Drosophila melanogaster: one gene and its partners. The protein of the gene in region 3 interacts with the protein of the main gene of each other region in a biochemical or structural test. Each region holds a gene or a part of one and is shown on either strand. Other genes may lie near its edges.

Region 1 (6,524 bases), on a different chromosome or scaffold from region 3:
CAGCGTATTTTGCGAAAAAGTTTGTGAAAATGTTCCAAAACAGCGCTGCCCGCCTCCTGGTCCCCGCTATGCGTAGCGCCATGCAGAGCCGTTGCCAGTCGGTCGTCTCTGGACCTCCGACCCAGCGCATCTCCACCGCCGTAAGTTTGAGCTTGTTGCATAACCAGGATGTGATTCCCAAAGCGAAAAACTGATCCTTCACTTTTTGCATTACAGGAGAAGGTGATCCTCGGCGGCGGCATGTGCGCTGCATCCTTGTTCATTCCCGCCTGGGTGCTCTACCACATCCGGGACTACAAGGGCGACAAGTAATCTGCATACGAGACCACACATAGTTAATACGCTTGTAAAGTAGAGAGCATCAATATATCAATAGTGCCCCTGTTACGGGGAAATAAACTATAGTGCATTGAGCCACAAACTGATTTTATTATTTATCTATGGTCCAGCTGTAAATAAACGTGTGTCTGATATATGGTACTGACATTGTATAAAACGCAGTATGCCAGGTGTAAAGTGGACTCTAAAAGAGGCGGGCGGAATCCTTGATGTTTTAAATTCTTCCGTGTTTAACTTCAAAAACTGGCCAATGAGCTCAAGTTCATTTACTTTAAGTACAGAATCCAATTTATTTACTTTAACTAGAGTCGTGAGTGACAGATAGAAGAAGCATTATGCATATGCTTCCCTAATAAACATGCTTACCCGAGTCGACCGGCCACTATCAGGACTAGAAAATTATTTTTACTAGACATGCAGTGAATGAAAAGACCCTCGCAGTCAATTAAGTCAGCAGCAGATCGTGTGTATTTGTTTATATATTTTCACTTGAAGCATAATTTGAAAGACGGCTACAAATGATTTTAATGGGCATACAAATGCTTTAAACGAGCTTATTAGATATAATCATAGATGCGGTTTATTTTTTTTGCGAGTCCTTGCCGTCGCTCTTTTTGTCCTTGTCCTTGTTGAGTGAACCGACAGCATCGCGCACCGCCTCCGACTGGGGATCAACACCAGGCAGATTCTCCAGCACGCTCTGCAAGAAGGCCGGGTCTCCGATCACCTCCGAGTAATCCTCGTCCACGTCCATGGGAGCGTTTGCCTCGTCCGTCTTTGGGCGCTTTGCTTGCTGGGTAACAGAGTCGTCGGGAGCGTCCTGCATGGACATCTGCATAGCGAAGGCAATCTGTTCCTCCTCAGTCATGTTAGCAAAGTCCGGCAAGTTGTCCTCGGGTGTTTCGGTGGACAGGGCCAGGGCACGCTGCAGCATGGCCTCCTCGGTGTTGGCTTCGTTCTCTGCTCCGGCACTTTCTTCGTTTCCAGGTCCAGATCCCGAAACGCCGCCTCCGCCACCAGCATCTCCGCCAGTCGGTGGAGCCCCATCGGGATTGGCGCGACGTTGCTCGCTCTCCTGGCGCTGCCGTTGCTCCTCCATAGACACACGCAAGGCGAGAGCCAGTTCGGGGTCCTCGTTGGGATCTACACCGAATTCGAAGACGTTGCCGCCCAGGCCAGCTCCGCCCATGCCGTCCTCGCCCTGAATGATGGGTGACGACAGCAGGGCATCCGACAAAACTGATCCCCGAGGCACGCTGACCAAATGGGAGCCGGTGCCGTCCTTGCCATTAAGCGCGTTGATGAATGCTGTGAGAATCTCGTTGTTGTTGCCATGATCACCGAAGCTAACTATGTCTACGTTGACCTTCTCCTTCTTGAGGCGCTTGGCCTGCTTCACTAGATCGCCCTCCTCGTGATTGATGGGGGAGCCCACAAAGACCACGATGCGCATTTTGTGGTTCTTGCCTTGGCGATGCTTCAGCACCAGATGGGCAATTCGGATTCCGGTCAGGAGGTTTATCTCGCCCTTCGGCTGAACCAGATGCATCTTTGAGAAAATCCGTCCTGCATCGCTAGTAAGAGTGGCCAGCACTTCAACGGTGCTGAGGTATAAACAAAGACATAATGAATATGTGGCATGGGCACAAACGCTCCACACTCACTTGGACAGAGTCATCAGGCCCACATTGTTCTCGGGATTGGAACGCAGCTTGGTCAGGCAGACCAGATTGATGCCATCTCTCTGGACGATGAGACGAGTTGGAAAGTAGTCTCCGTTGCGCTGGAAGTCGCTGTTATCAAAGCTGGAAAAGAGCAAAATATGAGTGCCAGACTGTGTGCCGTTGCAAGCAGTACGGGAAAACTAGCGGAAGCTCTTCGTATTGCTCAAAAAACAATAATTTACCATATCATAGTACTCTCCAGAACCATTTTCGTATTTTTGCTTGTCACTTTGCCACTGAACTGTAATTCCCCAGGGTTGCCAGGTGCTGTGCTGCCTGAACTATCGGCATTAAAATATCGGATTTGTATGACCGTTGTGCGATATTTTTGTTTGATTATATTTACATATGTACATTCTTTTACATTTTTCTACACCAGTCCATTATTTAATGTTAGTCCTGTGGAAAAGTAATTTAGATTATGTAACACATTTAAAGTTGTTTATTTTATTTACTAATTCAGAATATTAATATAAGCAACAATGTTGAAACAAACAAAATGATGTATATTATCTCCGCAAGGAATATTACACTGAAACCAATCATTAGGCTCATGATTCCACCAGTTGACGCTGGAAAAGATACAAGGAAGATACAACGCTTTAGTCAACTGCCTTGAATTCTAAAACCATCTCTATATAAAAGTTGTATAATTTGTTTTTATCAATTTTGGATAAGCCTGAAGCTCTTTTGTATGGTACTAGGCAAAATCAAGCAAAAATATTTCCTTACGAGGTGACGAGTTACATACGTTATGTAACGACAAATAGTAATATTTGATTTGTATCAAATAAATTAACTCCTAAGTATGCAACTTTGAGCATAAAAATACCTTCTGATAAACGGTAATATTTGGATTTTTTAAGCAGATTGTGCATTACACACTCTCTTATTGTGCATTACACTCCGGGTGAACATCGTCACTACATGGACTGTTTTTATTAATCGACTTAAAATACCCCCTCGAGTTAAAAAAAAAAAAACATGGACGTTTATACTATCAGACGGACGGGCATCCCTGATAGACTCGGAATATTATCGGAATTGCAATTACTGTTCTAGTAACGATATAACAATAACGTAGAAAGTATTTAAGATCTAAAAAATTTAATAAATAGCATACCCATATATTCAGTGGGTCCGGTATACGAAGTCCTTACACTGCTCCTGAAATAGTTGTCGGTGTGAAAAAAGTTTACTACCGCCAAGTTTTTGCGCATGTATTCACTTGAGAAATTCGTCAAGTAGTTGGTCTGTGCCTTGACGTCCTTTTGGCTGAATGGAGTGGAAAATGCATCGGGAAAGAAAATTAGGTCGTGGCAGCTGGTCAGGCAAAACTCCTTGCACTGAGAGCTCTGTAGGTCGAAGATCTGGGACTCTGCCCGATTCAGACATTCAAAGTGGAACACATCGCACACTGAGGCGTTGGGATAAATTAGTGGTAGGTAGTAGGGAATACAACTGCAAAGTCTCAGGAAAAACATGGAGTCGCACTCGGCCTCGCAGTTTCGGCGCGTATAGTAGCGATAGAAGAGTAATTCCTGTTCGTCACTAAAAATACACTGGCGTTTCGTCCTGTGAATATTCCTTATAGAGGGTGTAGCCTCAACGTTTCTAGCTATGATGCGAAAACTCGTCTGGTGCCCAATCATCACAGGTAATCCTGACTCCTTCATGCGCGGCTGGTCTATCGGATTATACAGGAGTATCTGAAAGGTATCTGAAAGGTATAAGCTAGCTGGGCAAAAAGCGTACAACACAACTTACCTTAAAGCCCTGTCCGTTTGTGGAGGAGCAGAAATAGTCGTCCACGTGACCGTTGAGAACGATTTGCAGACCCATCGAGGTACCAACTCCAACTCCCGGACGCGGATAGTAACTTGAGGGTAGTCTCTGTGGGTAGCCAGATATTGGATCCCAGTCCACGGCGATATCTGCAAACCTGTCGGACGAAGTGAAGTCCCGAATGTAGGGCGATCTTTAAATGAGTAAGTAAGTTATTCGTTCTTTTGACCTTCGTTGAACCCTACTTGAACTTATAAAGATAATACGGATGCAAGACATTAAATATGCAGCACAATCCTTCATCCACGAAAGTTTCTCTAAAGATGTCAGTGCAGGGTATCCTTTGTTGATGAAATATGCAGGATACTATCAGATCTGCACACTTCTCGGAAACATCCAATATGAAATTTGAGAATGTTTCATTTCTGTGCTGAGTATCCATGTATTGCGAGAAATTTGACTCCTTATAGCAGGTCTTTTGAAGCATGGCGTATCTTATGGAGCCCCTAATAGAGTTTATTATATAATTGGGTTTCCATGGGACTTGAATGATACTTACGGCATTAAATGCTCTACTTTCGACTTTTTAGCCTGGTTCATATTGCAAACCGTTATGGTTGGAAACGGAATTTGATCAATGGGAGTCATCTTAGAGCTAACTTTAAAGTAAGATTAAAATGTATTCATATCCCTAAAAGTAATATATGTTATGATTTATATACTTCCAATAATAACTGGTGTGCTGTCCCACTTATTGTAAATTCCAACCGCCAAGTTCACGGCCACAAAAAGAACCAAGGCGAATATGATGGCGAAGTAAAGCTTTATCCACCAAGAATAATTATTATCACTAATAACGTACTTAAGCATTTCCATTGACGTATTTCTTAGGAAACTTTTTCCCCTTTTTCGGCTAACGCTTCGAATTTTTCCATGGAATTTCTTTATCAAGCGCATGGTCTGGTTTTTAGAAGAATTTTATGAATACTGTTCACCTGAGTTGGCCCGAATAACTTCTAATTACTTCAGATTGCCTGTAATAGCCTTAATTTACGTTAGAAATGGTATCTTATTTAGTTTCAAAGTCAATTAGAGCGTTACTGCTACACAGCAAATATGTTCAGGTACATTTGATAGTCAGATAAATTTTATATTCACACAAGCGGAATTATTACATTGAGATAATGTCAGATAAATAAATATAGATATTAAAGCTTTAGAACGTTACAACTACGTTATATCCTCCGTTAAATCCTCTCCATCTGTTCACTAACAGAATTTGACCACGTATCATTTATAAATTTTTTCGAGTGAAGTTACGCTGCGCTCCTGTCATTGCCGCGTCATTATTAGGAGCAATTATTTATACAATATACATACAAATGGTATACCCTTTAACACTAATTAAATAAATAGCCGGGTGGAAATAAATCCTTTTGATTAGTAAACTGCTTTCTAAGCTTTGATAGAATGGGGGAGTAACACTGTAAATCTTATTATTAAATATTATCTTACATCATTATGCCCGTTACTCGTAAATAAGAAGGCTTAGTAGATTCGTTATGTATGTAGAAGGATTAAGATGAAGATTATTGCTACGCCAATTCTAACGGCCCAAAACCGTTACGCCTTTCTGTCCAGTTTGATATTCTGTCTATTGATATGCCAAAAAAATTAAAAAATTTCTCGGGTATCTGATAGTCGAATAAAACGTTCTCTTCTGTTGTCGTTTTCATTCTTTTGTTCCTTTCCCAGAATTCCTAGTAAAATTTAAAAAGCGTTCGAACATTCAAACAGTAAACGGTTTGTTGTGCGTGTGATTTTAGTCTTCAATGGCTTTGGTCACACTGCGGAAAAAAATTGTGAATGTGATCCAAGGTGCATAAAACGACAAAGTAAGAAACTGTGAGTGCTGTGGACATTAAACCAGCTTCGATTTCAAGAAGTCGCACTCCCTGAAAGCAAGCAGGTAATGTAAAACATTCATCGCGTGCGATGCAAGGGTTATTTTGAAGTGCGGGATCGCAACGTTCATATGCGTACAGGAATCCTCGCACTTGCATACATACTTACATTGCATATTTCACTGATGCTAAGGGGATATTTGAAATGCAAAAGGTGTCACGAGTGCATTTCGTGTGCTTTCCTGCTAAGGATTGCGGAAACTCCCGAACAACTGTGGTTTAAGGGTACACGGGCTCTGTTTGCCGAATCTGCGTATGTACGCAGTGGCTGTGTCTGTAGGTATGTTCGTTTGGGGGTAAGAACGCTTGAGACTGGAGGTCACATTTTCCTGAATTTACCCATTTTGCCTAGCGTCAATCGCTAACCCCTCGCCTTTGCTTTCAGGTCATCAGGTCCAGACTTGTCAGTGATTTGAAAACCCGAAAACCCTTTTGCGATCATCGTAGCGAAATGAGTGCCGTCACCAGCAGCGATACAGCCATCAGCGGCATGGCTCTTGGCCGGAGCCAGACCATCTGCCGCTACTACGTGCGCGGCATCTGCCGCTTTGGGGAACTTTGCCGCTTCTCCCACGACCTGAGCCGCGGTCGTCCCGAGTGCGAGGAGCAGGTGGCCACCGACGTGCTGCCGAAGCCTAGTACAAGCAGCAGCAGCACCATTGGCAGCCGCAGCGCCAGCATCTCCAGTCAGCAGAGGAACTGGGCGAACGCC
Region 2 (7,722 bases), on a different chromosome or scaffold from region 3:
TCCGGTAGTTTGTGTGTAAACACCACTCTATCGTTCTAACTTTTTGATTTGTCGTTAGATAAGCTGTGAAGCTTGTCTTTCGTCGTTGCCAGACCATTTCCACATAAATGTGTATGTTTTCACTTTATATGTATGTCACTGTGGTCGGCAGTCCTATTCGTGTCAATGGTCACCAAAGAGTTTCTATACTACAATTTTGAGCTTAAAGATTTGTCATTAACACAGTCAAACCAAAGACACTAGAATAACGTTATTTGTGGTCCGGTGGGTATGCCCATGTTTATAAAGTTAATTCGACCCAGTCTAAAGTTCTGGAACGTGTCAAGGAAAGAAGTATTAACGAGTGCTTCTCTTTCCACTTACCTGCGTTCTACCAAATCTACCAATAATTCTTGTGTCTTTGAATCTACATTGAGTCAGGAAAGATTTATAATTGTAGCAACATTATAGAGGGGACCATAGCCATACATGAAACTATTAGAGATTTATTAATATTAAAGTGTAGAATTCTTTGCATTAATAATGCATATTACAATGTTCGAGTTTTATATTTGTCGTATTAATTGGCAAGCAGAAAAGTATCATAAGTCCAAATGTTCTACAGTTTTGTATATTTGTAAATTAATGATAATCTAAGTACTGTAAAACTGGAGAACATTTATTCCTGTAAAAATAAGCAATAAAAAATATTTATAAAAATTTTAATTAGTTTTTTCGTGAGTAAAGGGTATCTGATAGTCGAGGCACTCGACTATAGAATTGTTATGAATGTCATGCAATTAATGAAATTGTTTTATTTCTCCGACTCATCCTGAAAGGAATCACCAAAGAGACGCCACAGCTTATTAGGGCATAATTGCGGACATTATTTACAATAAAAAAACACGAAATTTATGTAATACAATGATTAATATATTTTAGTCATATGTCCAACATCCAGGACGACAAAAAGTACTTTATGTGTTAAGTGACTTAATTGTGGACTCCCACTAGTCAAAAAAATATTTTATAAATCAACCAAGATAAGGAAAGAATAAATCATAAGACTTCTTTAGCTTAATACGACCTTAAAATAATTAATGTGTGTATTGCATATACACTAGAAATACACACACTAGAAATATACTTTGCCATCCATTAGGTGAAGGCCTAATCCAAGGCCTCCCTACCATGGATTGGCACAGATAAATTTGTAGACATTTGCAGTCTTATGCTGAAGACAATGTCGTGGTGAAATATTTAGTAAAAATGACATCGTAACTCTATTTTACCCATGGCTGCAATTTTTAACAAATAACAAGTACAATACGCCGACGGTATTAAAAGAATATAAAAGAATTTTTATGATCGACATTTTACATTTAATTTAAGAACATCTAACTTTAAATGTAACGCTTCCGGTGTTATTTGCATAACTTCTTACATTTTGTCATCCTAATCATCGAAGCTAGACGATAGCAAAAAATTAGCTGCTTGTTCCTCGTTCTTTTCACAAGCGAAGTACGCTTGCAGTACAAGGGCCTCTGGGAATCCAAGAGCTTTTAGCTAGAAGAAGAATATATTAAGTAACTCGACAGTCCATATATAATTATTCACTCCTATATACCCGTTCTATTGCGTCCTTATCTTGGCGATTTAAACGAATGGTTGATACTCCTAAAGGTTGTTCCAAGTCTTCGTTATCCGCTGCGCTACCGCTTTGATGTGCTGCACTTGTACCCGCGGCTGATCTTTGTGCTGAAGTAGCTACTTCTAAATCTGGAGAAAAGAGGTCAACATTGTCCAAAGTTGAAGGAATCCGCGCATTCGAAACGGGAGGAACGGTGGCGCCTGACTCCGATTCGCGGTCAATCGGTTGATTAAGCATATTGAGAAACGCATCTTGGTTCTCCGAAATAAGTTGTAAAAGGGCTGGGTTTGTCTGACCAATCTATACGTAAAAAAAATTATCATTTACGTGTCATGTAATTATTATTATAAGTGTACTTACCTGCTGCAATACTGCATGCAAAAGATGAGGGTTTTGATAAATTAAAGATCGCATTTGAAGAAACTGTGGCTGGCTACGTAAAAATTCAAAGGGGTCTGAAACGTAAATATAAATAATTAAATAATAATTAAATTAACTAAAAACATATAGTGATGCCCTGTCCTTGAAGAGAATAGTGACAAAAATTCGTGAATTATCGCTCCTTTAGTGTCTGTTGACATATATATGTAAATGATACTGCGGGACAACGAGCTCACAAACATTTTAGTGAATCTTTAACAGCTGCATATATTTCCAGTACTAAGAGAACTCTTTTATTATTTATTAACGAATGTGCAACATAAGTTTTGATCAACAATATTTCTTGACCAGGAAAACTAACGCAATTATGTTAAGGCCGTATAATTTCATTAAAGAGCGAGAGCCAAATCGGGTTTATTAATTTCACTATGTTTTGAAGTGTGCAAATTTAGTACTTCTGGGTAGAAATTATATATTTTCGTTTCATACAAGAATACATAAATTGACTGCTGATTGAAATCCCATCAAGTTACCTGAATTTGATTCTGTTGAACGCTCGGCAGAGGTTGCCGACGCAGGTTGCGGTCCGGAGGGGATTAGACTAGGATTCGTTGATTCATTCAGCCTATTGTAAAAAGTACCTTCCTCTGCAGGTATGCCATTAATGAGATATTCAACGGCTCTTTCCGGGTTGTTATAACTAGCAGCCATCGCACGTTCAACCTGCTCTCTTGGGTAACCCATTTCCACCATTGATAGGACTGTTTGGTTGTATTCGTCACCCATAAGCAAATTAGATTCAGCGCGCGATTGTAAGGAAGCCTGGGCCAACTCGCCAATCAATTCGTCACTAGATAAAGGTCTGGTTTCACGTGATAAAACTGAATCTTCTGTATTTGTGGAACTAGGCGAATTGGTATGGTTGGCTTCTTCGCAAGGCATAGATTGCTTTGAATCGTCGGTGCTAGTCAATTTATTACTTTCTTTTACACTAAGTTGATTACGATTTGAACTAGACGAATCGCGTGTCAACATTACCACAATGAACTTTTTTTCATCAACGTTGTATGAACCAACGGTGCGGTCATCCGTCAATATGACGCCAGCGTAGATCAGTTTTTGTTTTTCGGCGACGTACTCTGGACCGCGCTCCTCGAATATTTTCTTCTTCAGTTCCAAAACCTTTTGTAATCAGAATCCCTGCTTATTATGGTACAACAAATTAATTGTAAGAAATACCTGTATAAGCACACATATGCATTTGCAATAATTGTATATACCATACATGTGAATATACTAGTATTTGACTATTTGTACACATACCGTTTTTTCCGGGGCAAACTCAATAGTAAAAGTTTGCTGTTGAAGATTTTTAATTGTAATAATCATCTTGTGTATCAGACAAAACCAAAACTTAATTAAATATACATATGCATACACATATGCAAACTCGAAAGTTAGTTCCCAATATCGCTTGATAAAAACGATTTGTCATCAGTGTGACCGCACATGGACTGGCAAATTATACCTTCTCGCTTAAAAGACACAAAATCGCAGCACAAACCAAAGAGTTCAATAGTCCTTATAACATTTTCACACATCAAGAAAGATGTAAAGATTTGTAATGAAATTTATAATGAAATATGAAATATTGAAGTCATAATGAACGTAACAAATAAACAATTGTCCGTGGTTTGACTGTAGTTAGTATTTCATTATATCAACGATTTAGATCATACTATATACAGGTTATACCTGTAGTATATAAGTCTATTTATAATATACCATCGGTTGATGATCAATAAATTTCAAAGAAATTTAATTTTTAATTCCGTTTAAGTAGTTCGGTATTTCTTTAAAAATACTTTAGTTTAACCAAAGACACTAGAATAACAAGATGCGTAACGGCCATACATTGGTTTGGCACTATGCAGCCACTTCTTTGGTGACTGCCAAAATTACTCTCTTTCCGCTCACTCCCGCTGAGAGCGTAAGAAATCTAAAAATATAATTTGATTGCTTGTGTGAGTAAAAACAAGAGACGAGAACGCGTATAAGTGTGCGTGTTGTGCTAGAAGACGATTTTCGGGCCGAAATCAATTCTGATCGAAGAAACGAATTTACATGGTACATATTAGGGTAGTTTTTGCCAATTTCCTAGCAATATGATAAAATAAAAAAATTTTTAAAAATTCGCGCCCTGACTATTATAATTTTAAAGCTTTTTAAATTTGTTTGTTAAAATCGCCGCTCGAATTAGCTACCGTTTACACATTTATATTTATGTTTAATTCTAATTTGTCTCTCATCTGACAATTTTTTAAAAGAGAAATTATTTTTTTAAAACACTTTTAATGTTAATGTTACATCATATTAAGTCAAATGATTTAATAAATATACTAAATAATTAAATATGATAACTGTTTATTGCAAAAGTAATATCAAAGTAATATACTAGAATAATTCTAATGCTTTGTTCATATCTTGAGGCACGAAGTGCGGACACAAGCACTCAACAATCATTGCCTTATTAATTTTTCACACGCCGCAAGATGAATACTCTAATGACAAATATTCTTATATAAAGTCATTTTTGAAATTTATTTTTGTGATAATATGTACATAGATTTGGCTATTTCTGATATATTTTCAAATAATAATAACGTTAAGGCAATGCAAAACAAGAATTTTTCGCATGGTGCCAATTGATCAAAAATAATATAGATTTAAAGTCTAAAAACTTCTGAGGTGAAGGGCATATTTTGTCAAATTTACAATGCATGAGCATACGTGTGCACACATACAGATGTCTCCTACCACTTTGTGCGTTGAAAAGAGCTGTTCGCTGTAGCGCTCTTCGCTCTCTCGCTCTCAAACAAAAATTCGAGAGAGCCTGGAGCCACCTCTAGAGCCACGGCCAAAAAATCGTGTGCCAAAAAATCGTATGGCGTTACGCATCTTGTTATTCTAGGGTCTTTGGGCAAACCAATGTATGGCCGTTACGCATCTTGTTATTCTAGTGTCTTTGGTAATACCGTATTCCTTTCAAAAGATATACATCAATGCTTATCTTCTGTCTTGTGAACATATATGATTTGAGTTCATATAAGATTAACGAAAATTTCGAAATTAAGATAACTATTGCTGTATCATCAGTGGGGTGTTTAAATGTAGTAAATATCGAGAATTTTAAAAGATACAATTTCAAAAATGACAAATGTGTTAATTCTAAATAATTGTATATACCATAAAAACAAAAAATAAAAATTTGCTGTTGAAGATTTTTAATTGTAATAATAATCTTGTGCATTAGACATTTGCAAAGAATAATACAAAAAATACACGAATGCATTGTTTTTCCACTTATCAATTAATAATAATAAATAAGTGTATTCATGTGAATTAATTTCATTTCTTGTGTTAGCATCAGATTTTCATTTCTTCGTGCACTCTCTCCTAGCTTTCTTTTTAACCGTGACATATCGGGATCTGCCAAGAAAACTATTTGATGACAGGATCTAGAGGAAGTAAACAATTCGATGCACTTGTCAAGGTAGAATAAGGATGGCTGTATTCAGAACTCTTGTCAGTTATTATCCCCCTAAGTTCCGATTTTGGGAATTCCTAATGAGTAGCACAACAAAATTGGCTGCACTCAGCCACAATTATATTTTGGTAAATGTTTCAAAGTACTCCGTATTATAACTCGTACCTATGTATATGCATACATATACTAGTATTTTCAATGACATGCGCACAGAGTCGAGCTTTTCATGCAAACGAGCTCTTATAAAAAAATGTATTCGACGTGTTTTCATTGGCATAAGTAGCTCGATATTAACTTAAACGACATATTGTTTTAGGAATAAAGTAGTTTTAAAGTAAAATACAGTTTTTGCCGTTATTTAAATTCAAAGGAAAGACTCAAATTTGTAATAACAACACGCAATCTAATAAGACAGTGTAAAAACATAGAGTACTGTAACAATTATACTGAATGTTGGATTAGTTTGGTTTGCTTATTTCTTAATTGGGATCTCCGGCACCTGCAACCTTTATGACAGCGAACTAAACAAATAATAATGTTTTGGACCAAGTTTTATGAGATTTACATAAGTCAAACATAAAACAATGTGTACTCCTTTAAAAAGAAAGCCATTAAATAACAATATTATATGCTCTACATCTTAAAGTGCGACATAGTTTATACTGTGGTGGTACTGTGGTATAAAAAATAAACAAATAAAAATAAGTTGGGTGTTGTTATTATATATTATTATACACCTTAGTTACAGAAAGTTACGTTCTTATCTGCATGAAATAAATATGTATGCCCGAAGATATTATATCTTACATAATCGATTTCTTTGTTATTTACTTGAATTAAGATTCGAATTGTCGTAAAAAAATTACACATACTTCTCACTATTACAGACATGGCAAGCATAGTACTTATAGCTTGCTTGGCTATATTGGGATTAATTATTACAATCGCTCTTTTTCTGGCTGGAGGATACTTGTGGTGGAGGCATAAAAGATCACAGTTACAGTTTATTGAACCAAATGAAGATGAGGAATCTAGTAGTTATAGTCTTCGGTAAGTATTTGCATTTCCTGTTTAGTATATGACTTTATATATTTCATGGGGACAGACATTCGACTCTTAACAAGCGATAGAGGATCTATTTATGTCTATGACTGTATATTATCAACGATTTTGAGTATGCAGTATTTCTAAATTGTCCTATTCATTTGACTTTTTTATAAATACGTTAGTTGAGTACCCTCGGAATATTTAGAATATTTATATATCATGCTCTGCAATATATAATAATATATAATTATAATTTAGCTACAAAAAACCAACATTTTTGAGTTGTATGCAGTTTAATGAAACATCATAATTTATAGCTTATTATCGGATGATTGATTGGCAAATACAAAATTTTAACGTTAAAATATTTTATTCTTCTGTAACGGGAACCAATCGATATAAATTGCTAATTATGCCCGTTACTTGTAGATTAAAAGGGTATAGTAGATTCGATGAAAAGTAAGTAACAGGTAGAAGGAAGCGTTTCCGACCATATAAAGTATATATATTCCGTCTGTCCGATCTCGATCCCAGGAACTATAAAAGCTGGAATGTTGAGATTATGCATGCAGTTTCCAGAGACAAATGTTGCCAAGCCCACACTACCGCCCGTCGTATTTTCATACGTTTATTAGTTTTGTAAATTTCTATTAAATTGCCAACTTCATGCTACGCCCACTCTAAAGCCCACAACCATCCCAAAACTGCCACGCCGACACTTTTAAAAAATGTATTAATGAATTTTCATATTTTTGCTAGTCTCGTAAATTTTTATTCACATTTTGAAAAATGTTTTAATTTTGTGGCGTGGCGACATCAGGAAACAATATTGAGCTGTGCCTATGTCTCTGGAATTTACATGCTTAGTCTCAACTGTCTATCTTTTTTAGTTTCTAAGGTGGTGGGTGTTATTTTATTTTTTCTTTTCATTCCAGTTTTTATCGGTACGCCAAAAAGAATGTCGAGAAGATGTTGAAATAAGACTTTGCGAGAGTTGTATGCAGTTAGCTTGAAAGTAGTGTACATACGGACGAGCGAGCAGATGGACGGACGTAAAGGGTTAGTTCGTCTCGGCTAGTGATCCTGATCAAAAATCGCTCAAAAATCACAACCAATC
Region 3 (6,706 bases):
CGGCTTGAATCGGCTACTGTGGCCAAGCCTCATTTGTTGCCAACCCTATATGTTTTTGTTATTTAATTATAGTGAAGGCTGGTGGCATGCGAATTGTGCAGCACAAAGCGCCGACGGCAGAACGCGCGCCCAAGGATGCAGAGGATTGTACTGGACTGACAGTGAGCTATTGACATAAGTATGTGGTTTTCAATGGAAACTAACTTATCCTCTAATCCTTTAAAGCAACCCATTGCCGTGAACTCCGGCTCTGTGAGCGGTGCCCCCGTCAAGGGCAACACGGACTTTACGCCCGCCTCCGCCCAGGTGGCCCACTCGCCCAAGCCACCGGCTGCAGTGCAGCAGAAGCCCCAGATCCACATCCAGCAGCCACGGAAGTGATGCGTACTCGGGCGGAATAACTATTATCATTATCTAATCTCTTTGATCTTTTGTTGAAATTCTATGAGTCCTCTCAATGGTATTGAAATCGCCTTTGAATGCGATATTTACTCTTTAATTTTATATATGCATTTGCCACTGCATTCCATAAATTAAAAATGCTGATTTTCTGAGTTAATATTTTGTAATAAACTTTATCCCTTTTATAGATTTCAAGACATTCGTTTCGAATGCGTATATCTTAAATTTTTACCTAAACCAACTCGTGGTGTTCCTGGTGAGCTTGGATGCGATAAAACATTGACCAAAGAAGACATATAACACTATACATGAAATTCGTGATTTCCGATGTTATCTATATTGCCCTCAGATCTACTGGAATTTGCTCTACACGTACTCTTAAAATTCCCAAGTGCTTATTCAGCACAACGTGTATATAATTAGGGAAACTCTAGCACACTAAATGCCCCACTGAACTTCGGTGGTCCGGGGTGCGGACTTCAAATCCGTAGTCGATTTGCGTCGAAGTGGTTCGATTCCACCTGGGGGGCGAATATTAATGGAGTTGCATTCTTAAACTTTTTTAAGCATGGTCTTTATTTTCCAAAATCTGTTCATATGGCATTGGCCGCCTTGACTATCCAAGGTCGCAGAATCGCCACATCGGCATAGACACCGGGGTAGTTGTCGTCCGCACACCGGTAACCCCAGGATACAATGCCCACCAGCTGGCTACTGGCCACCAAAGGACCTCCAGAGTCTCCCGTACAGGCATCTGCATCAGTGCTGGCAGCGCAAATTGTTTCCTCGCCCACAAAATCCGCACCGTAGCCAAACTTTTGCGAGGCACACTCTCCGCGATCGATGATCTGCAACTGGGCCTTCTGCAAGCTATCGGAGAGGGCTCCATTATCAGTGTGGCCCCAACCCGTGACAGTGACTGTTGTTCCACCCGATGGACTCGTACTGGCTAAATTGATGGCTCTCGTTGAGAGGCCAAAGGTCAGTGGTGTGGACAGACGAAGCACGGCAATGTCGTAGTGCAGGAAGCGGGAATCAAACTGCTCGTGGACTTTGTACGCCGCCACAGGAACCAATGTGCCGCCGTAGTTGTGATTCTGTGCACCCACACGCACCTTCATCAGCGTCACGGATCTCTCATGTAGACAGTGTCCGGCTGTGATGATGATCTCCTTGCTATAGATGACTCCGCCGCACTCGTGGCGCGCACTGATCTGAATAGACACCTGCCAGGGGGCGTTACGAATCAGCTGATCGCTTCCGCCAATAATTCGTCCAGTGGCCTCGACATCTGACGCATCGCCGAGCAGCAAAAGGACCAGCACCGTAGCCACTATTCCGTAAACAGCCATTCCGAAAGCCAAGTGCAAACTGCTCGTATTTGTCCACGAAACCCCTTCATGGCGTGCTTTTTACTAGGGCTGTAAAAGTTAATCTTCGGCTAATTGATGGCTTATCGTTAGTATATATTACTGATACCCTTGATTGGTCTTGGTCAGCACTGCTCCTTACCCGGTTCTCTAGTTCGATATGAAAACACGTTGCCCAGGCAACTATTGCCAAACAAATTTATTTAGATGTTGTGAATATCGAAAAAAGGACTTTTGAGAGATAATACCGACATGGATAACTGGAAGATAACCGCGGAGGAGCTTATCCGTCTGCGGGAGAGCTGCTTGCAGTGCATCCGTGATGGAGAACTCTATGAACTGCGCAACGATGCCAAACTTAGGGCTGTTTATAGCACTCAGAACTACGAAGAATTCAAGTAAGCAATACAAATAAACATGTCTCAAATTGAAAAATGCATGTAAGCCAATTGCCATCAGGAACATAGTGGATGCGGCTCATCTTCGTCCAGTGACCAAGGGCGACAAGGCGAATTTTAAGACGAAGAATCGACTATGGAACTCGGCGGCCCGGGATTAATTTGTTAATTGCGCAATAAAAATAAAAGACCAAGTTTATAGTCAGAATATACGTTTTATTTCGCACACTTTTTAGGCATTGCTAATAACCCAGGAGCGGAGGGCAGCAACATCGGCATAGACACCGGGGTAGTTGGAGTAAGCGCATCCGTATCCCCAGGAGACAACACCGACGAGGACTCCGCCGGAGACCAGTGGGCCACCGGAGTCACCCTGGCAGGCATCCTTGCCGCTGGCAGCAGCGCAGATCATGGTGCTGCGGATCTGGCTACCGTATCCGTAGGTGGAGGAAGCACACTGGCTCTGGCTAACGATGTTCACGTTCACGTACTGCAGCTGGGAGGGGATGGAGCTGGATCCGTAGGAGAGAGTGCCCCATCCGGAGACGGAGGCCGCAGCGCCGTTGGCGGGGTTGGAGCTAGCCAGACCGATGGCCTTGATGGTGGAGCTGAAGGTCAGGGCGCCGTTGATCTTGATGATGGCAATGTCGTTGACCATGGTGTTGGCGTTGTAGCCCTCGTGGTTCTTGAAGGAGGACACAGAGAAGGTGACACCGCCGGAGCTCCAGTAGCTGGATCCAGCACGGATCTGCAGGACGGAAGCGGACACGGACTGCAGACAGTGAGCGGCGGTCACGATGACGTTGCTGGAGTAGATGGATCCACCGCAGGAGTGGCTTCCACTGCGCTGCAGGGAGATCTGCCAGGGGAAGCTGCTGATGGTGGTAGCAGAGCCGCCGACAATGCGGCCATCCAACTGAGGCAGGAGTCCCTCAGGGACGGTGCCTCCCAGGGCGCAGGCTACTGCAGACAACAAGATCACGAACTTCAGCATGGTGCGAATCCAATGAGTTGACTCTAAACTGGACACCCCTTTTATACAGGGACCTATCTCTTTGTGGCGCTCTTATCATAAATTTCAATTATTTTTATCACTTGCTTGTCAGGGAAATCCAAAATATTTTTTAAATGTGTGACCGACAAATAGATTTCGCGAATAAGAAGTATATACGTATACAAAGTCCAGATTCATGCCAAACGATTTTTTTTTGCAATAAGTTGGTCATTTAAATAGCTTGAAAAAGATAGTCACATAAAGATATCGGGGTTTAAACGAAATTAAAACAATTTATATTTCTATAAACAATTTATTGTGTTTTAAATAAACAGACACCATAATTTTTTAAAAGAAATTATATAACTTATGAGAAACATCATGAGCATTACTAGAAAACAATGCAATTGAACGCATAATCATGTAATTAAAATTAATGCAAAGGCGATTAAATTGTTCTTAAAATTAATGGTTTTACAAAATTCACAAATTAAAATGCTAAACAGTTATTTTCTTTTAAAAAGCCAATAATATTAATAGTTATGCACACAATTATGTATAATAATTGGATTAGATTAGAACTAAATCAAGTTGAATGACAAGCATCCACTTTTAAAAAATTCCACAATGTTATTGTACAAGTTTAATCCCCTATTTAAATATGTAAGTCGAAAATAGACGTTCCCATCAATACCTTGCAAAAATTAAATATAATAAAAAGAAAGCGAATTATTTAGAAAGGTAATATAAAAGTAGTTACACTTTCCTCGCATTTTTATTTATTTTTGTGATAAAGAGCCGTGCGACTTCTGAGTTGTGGAATATCATTTGGGCACTTCAACGGTATTATTTGGGTTTTCCTGACACGCAGGTGATAAAAATAATTGAAAGTTGTGATTATAGTGCCAAGAACAGATTGGAAACTCGTATAAAAGGGGTGTCCAGTTTAGAGTCAACTCATTGGATTCGCACCATGCTGAAGTTCGTGATCTTGTTGTCTGCAGTAGCCTGCGCCCTGGGAGGCACCGTCCCTGAGGGACTCCTGCCTCAGTTGGATGGCCGCATTGTCGGCGGCTCTGCTACCACCATCAGCAGCTTCCCCTGGCAGATCTCCCTGCAGCGCAGTGGAAGCCACTCCTGCGGTGGATCCATCTACTCCAGCAACGTCATCGTGACCGCCGCTCACTGTCTGCAGTCCGTGTCCGCTTCCGTCCTGCAGATCCGTGCTGGATCCAGCTACTGGAGCTCCGGCGGTGTCACCTTCTCTGTGTCCTCCTTCAAGAACCACGAGGGCTACAACGCCAACACCATGGTCAACGACATTGCCATCATCAAGATCAACGGCGCCCTGACCTTCAGCTCCACCATCAAGGCCATCGGTCTGGCTAGCTCCAACCCCGCCAACGGCGCTGCGGCCTCCGTCTCCGGATGGGGCACTCTCTCCTACGGATCCAGCTCCATCCCCTCCCAGCTGCAGTACGTGAACGTGAACATCGTTAGCCAGAGCCAGTGTGCTTCCTCCACCTACGGATACGGTAGCCAGATCCGCAGCACCATGATCTGCGCTGCTGCCAGCGGCAAGGATGCCTGCCAGGGTGACTCCGGTGGCCCACTGGTCTCCGGCGGAGTCCTCGTCGGTGTTGTCTCCTGGGGATACGGATGCGCTTACTCCAACTACCCCGGTGTCTATGCCGATGTTGCTGCCCTCCGCTCCTGGGTGATCAACAACGCCTAATTATTTTTCGAAATAAATCATATATGAACAGTTTATGACGGTCGTCAGTTTATTTTAAAAGATGGTCTTAGTTAAAAATCAGGACACAGGGTTCACATTTTTAGATGGTAATGACTGTTCGAGTGCAATGACTATTAGATATAGTGAGTTGTGCAAGCAGTAAAGGGACTGCTTTTAGGACTATGGAAATTGATTGATTGGATTTAACTATCCCCATATTCTGTTAGAATGCCCTAAGGATTATTAGCGTGATTGGAATTGTAAACAACTAGGCATTATTAAGAAGCAAACTTGCGCAATGTAGTCGTAAATAAAACATGCATTTTTAACTACAACTTTAAAGCTCTATTAGTTTTCCAAGACTGTACGTTAGGCGGATAGGGAAATCTAGATCATGATCAAGAAGAATATGAATTTTATAGGCTCGATACGCATCATTCTACATAAGACTTACTTTATAACGATATATTCGTAACCATTTTATTTTTATACTCTTTACTCGTAGAGTAAAAGTGTATAATAGATTCGTTTAAATGTATCTAACAGCTACAAGTTAGTGTTTCCAATCATATAATGTACATATATTCTTGATCAGGATCGATAGCCCCATCCGTCTGTCGAGTTCTTAGCAACTATAAAAGCTAGAAGCTTGAGATTAGGCATACAGATTCTAGAGACATAGACCCATATTTCCCCTCCCACAATTTTGAAAAATATTTTGATTTTTTTCACATTTTTATTGTTTTGTAAATTTGTATCGATTCGCCAAAAATATTTTTGCCACGCCCACTCTAACGCCCACAAACCAATCAAAACTTTTTTTTCATTCATTCATTCATTCATTTCATTCATTAATTTCATTCATTCATTTCATTCATTAATTTCATTCATTCATTTCATTCATTAATTTCATTCATTCATTTCATTCATTCATTTCATTCATTTCATTCATTTCATTCATTTCATTCATTTCATTCATTTCATTCATTTCATTCATTTCATTCATTTCATTCATTTCATTCATTTCATTCATTTCATTCATTTCATTCATTTCATTCATTTCATTCATTTCATTCATTTCATTCATTTCATTCATTTCATTCATTTCATTCATTTCATTCATTTCATTCATTTCATTCATTTCATTCATTTCATTCATTTCATTCATTTCATTCATTTCATTCATTTCATTCATTTCATTCATTTCATTCATTTCATTCATTTCATTCATTTCATTCATTTCATTCATTTCATTCATTTCATTCATTTCATTCATTTCATATCATTTCATTCATTTCATTCATTTCATTCATTTCATTCATTTCATTCATTTCATTCATTTCATTCATTTCATTCATTTCATTCATTTCATTCATTTCATTCATTTCATTCATTTCATTCATTTCATTCATTTCATTCATTTCATTCATTTCATTCATTTCATTCATTTCATTCATTTCATTCATTTCATTCATTTCATTCATTTCATTCATTTCATTCATTTCATTCATTTCATTCATTTCATTCATTTCATTCATTTCATTCATTCATTTATATCATTCATTCATTTCATTCATATCATTCATTCATTTCATTCATTCATTTTCACTGTGGAGTTTCTATCGATATGCCAGAAGAAAGATGCTAGTTCGTTCACCCTGACACTAGCTGAGTAACGAGAGTATCTGATAGTCGGGGAACTCGAATATAGCATTCTCTTTTGTTAAAGAGTAAGTTCGGTTAACATAAGTTAAACTATGTAGTAATTGATCGAAAACGGGTACCTCAACAAATTACCTTTAATTTA

What was found. Proteins that work in one complex are often made in the same cells at the same time.
Region 1: of the proteins of deltaTry (region 3) and Rpn10, one has a biochemical effect on the other in vitro, tested with the Drosophila melanogaster proteins (one study listed by BioGRID).
Region 2: of the proteins of deltaTry (region 3) and Rad23, one has a biochemical effect on the other in vitro, tested with the Drosophila melanogaster proteins (one study listed by BioGRID).

The regions. Positions count from the first base shown.
Region 1 is NT_037436.4:21,532,860-21,539,383, reverse strand, and holds Rpn10 (regulatory particle non-ATPase 10), read right to left. Parts: upstream 2,385-6,524; 5' UTR 2,272-2,384; coding exon 2,246-2,271; intron 2,145-2,245; coding exon 2,004-2,144; intron 1,944-2,003; coding exon 920-1,943; 3' UTR 802-919; downstream 1-801. Other genes in the region: COX8 (cytochrome c oxidase subunit 8), read left to right, coding at 30-140, 217-312; ppk5 (pickpocket 5), read right to left, coding at 2,523-2,635, 3,187-3,772, 3,831-4,041, 4,094-4,354, 4,408-4,507, 4,571-4,724; Mkrn1 (makorin 1), read left to right, coding at 6,264-6,524. UniProt on the Drosophila melanogaster protein: Binds and presumably selects ubiquitin-conjugates for destruction.
Region 2 is NC_004353.4:303,902-311,623, reverse strand, and holds Rad23 (Rad23), read right to left. Parts: upstream 3,532-7,722; 5' UTR 3,401-3,531; coding exon 3,335-3,400; intron 3,212-3,334; exon of another isoform or gene 3,194-3,211; coding exon 2,545-3,193; intron 2,086-2,544; coding exon 1,991-2,085; intron 1,931-1,990; coding exon 1,607-1,930; intron 1,546-1,606; coding exon 1,435-1,545; 3' UTR 802-1,434; downstream 1-801. Other genes in the region: Syt7 (synaptotagmin 7), read left to right, coding at 6,448-6,608.
Region 3 is NT_033778.4:11,351,791-11,358,496, reverse strand, and holds deltaTry (deltaTrypsin), read right to left. Parts: upstream 3,179-6,706; 5' UTR 3,165-3,178; coding exon 2,403-3,164; 3' UTR 2,369-2,402; downstream 1-2,368. Other genes in the region: CG12384 (uncharacterized protein), read left to right, coding at 73-161, 226-381; iotaTry (iotaTrypsin), read right to left, coding at 996-1,754; CG13202 (uncharacterized protein), read left to right, coding at 2,025-2,170, 2,232-2,331; CG30025 (uncharacterized protein), read left to right, coding at 4,138-4,899.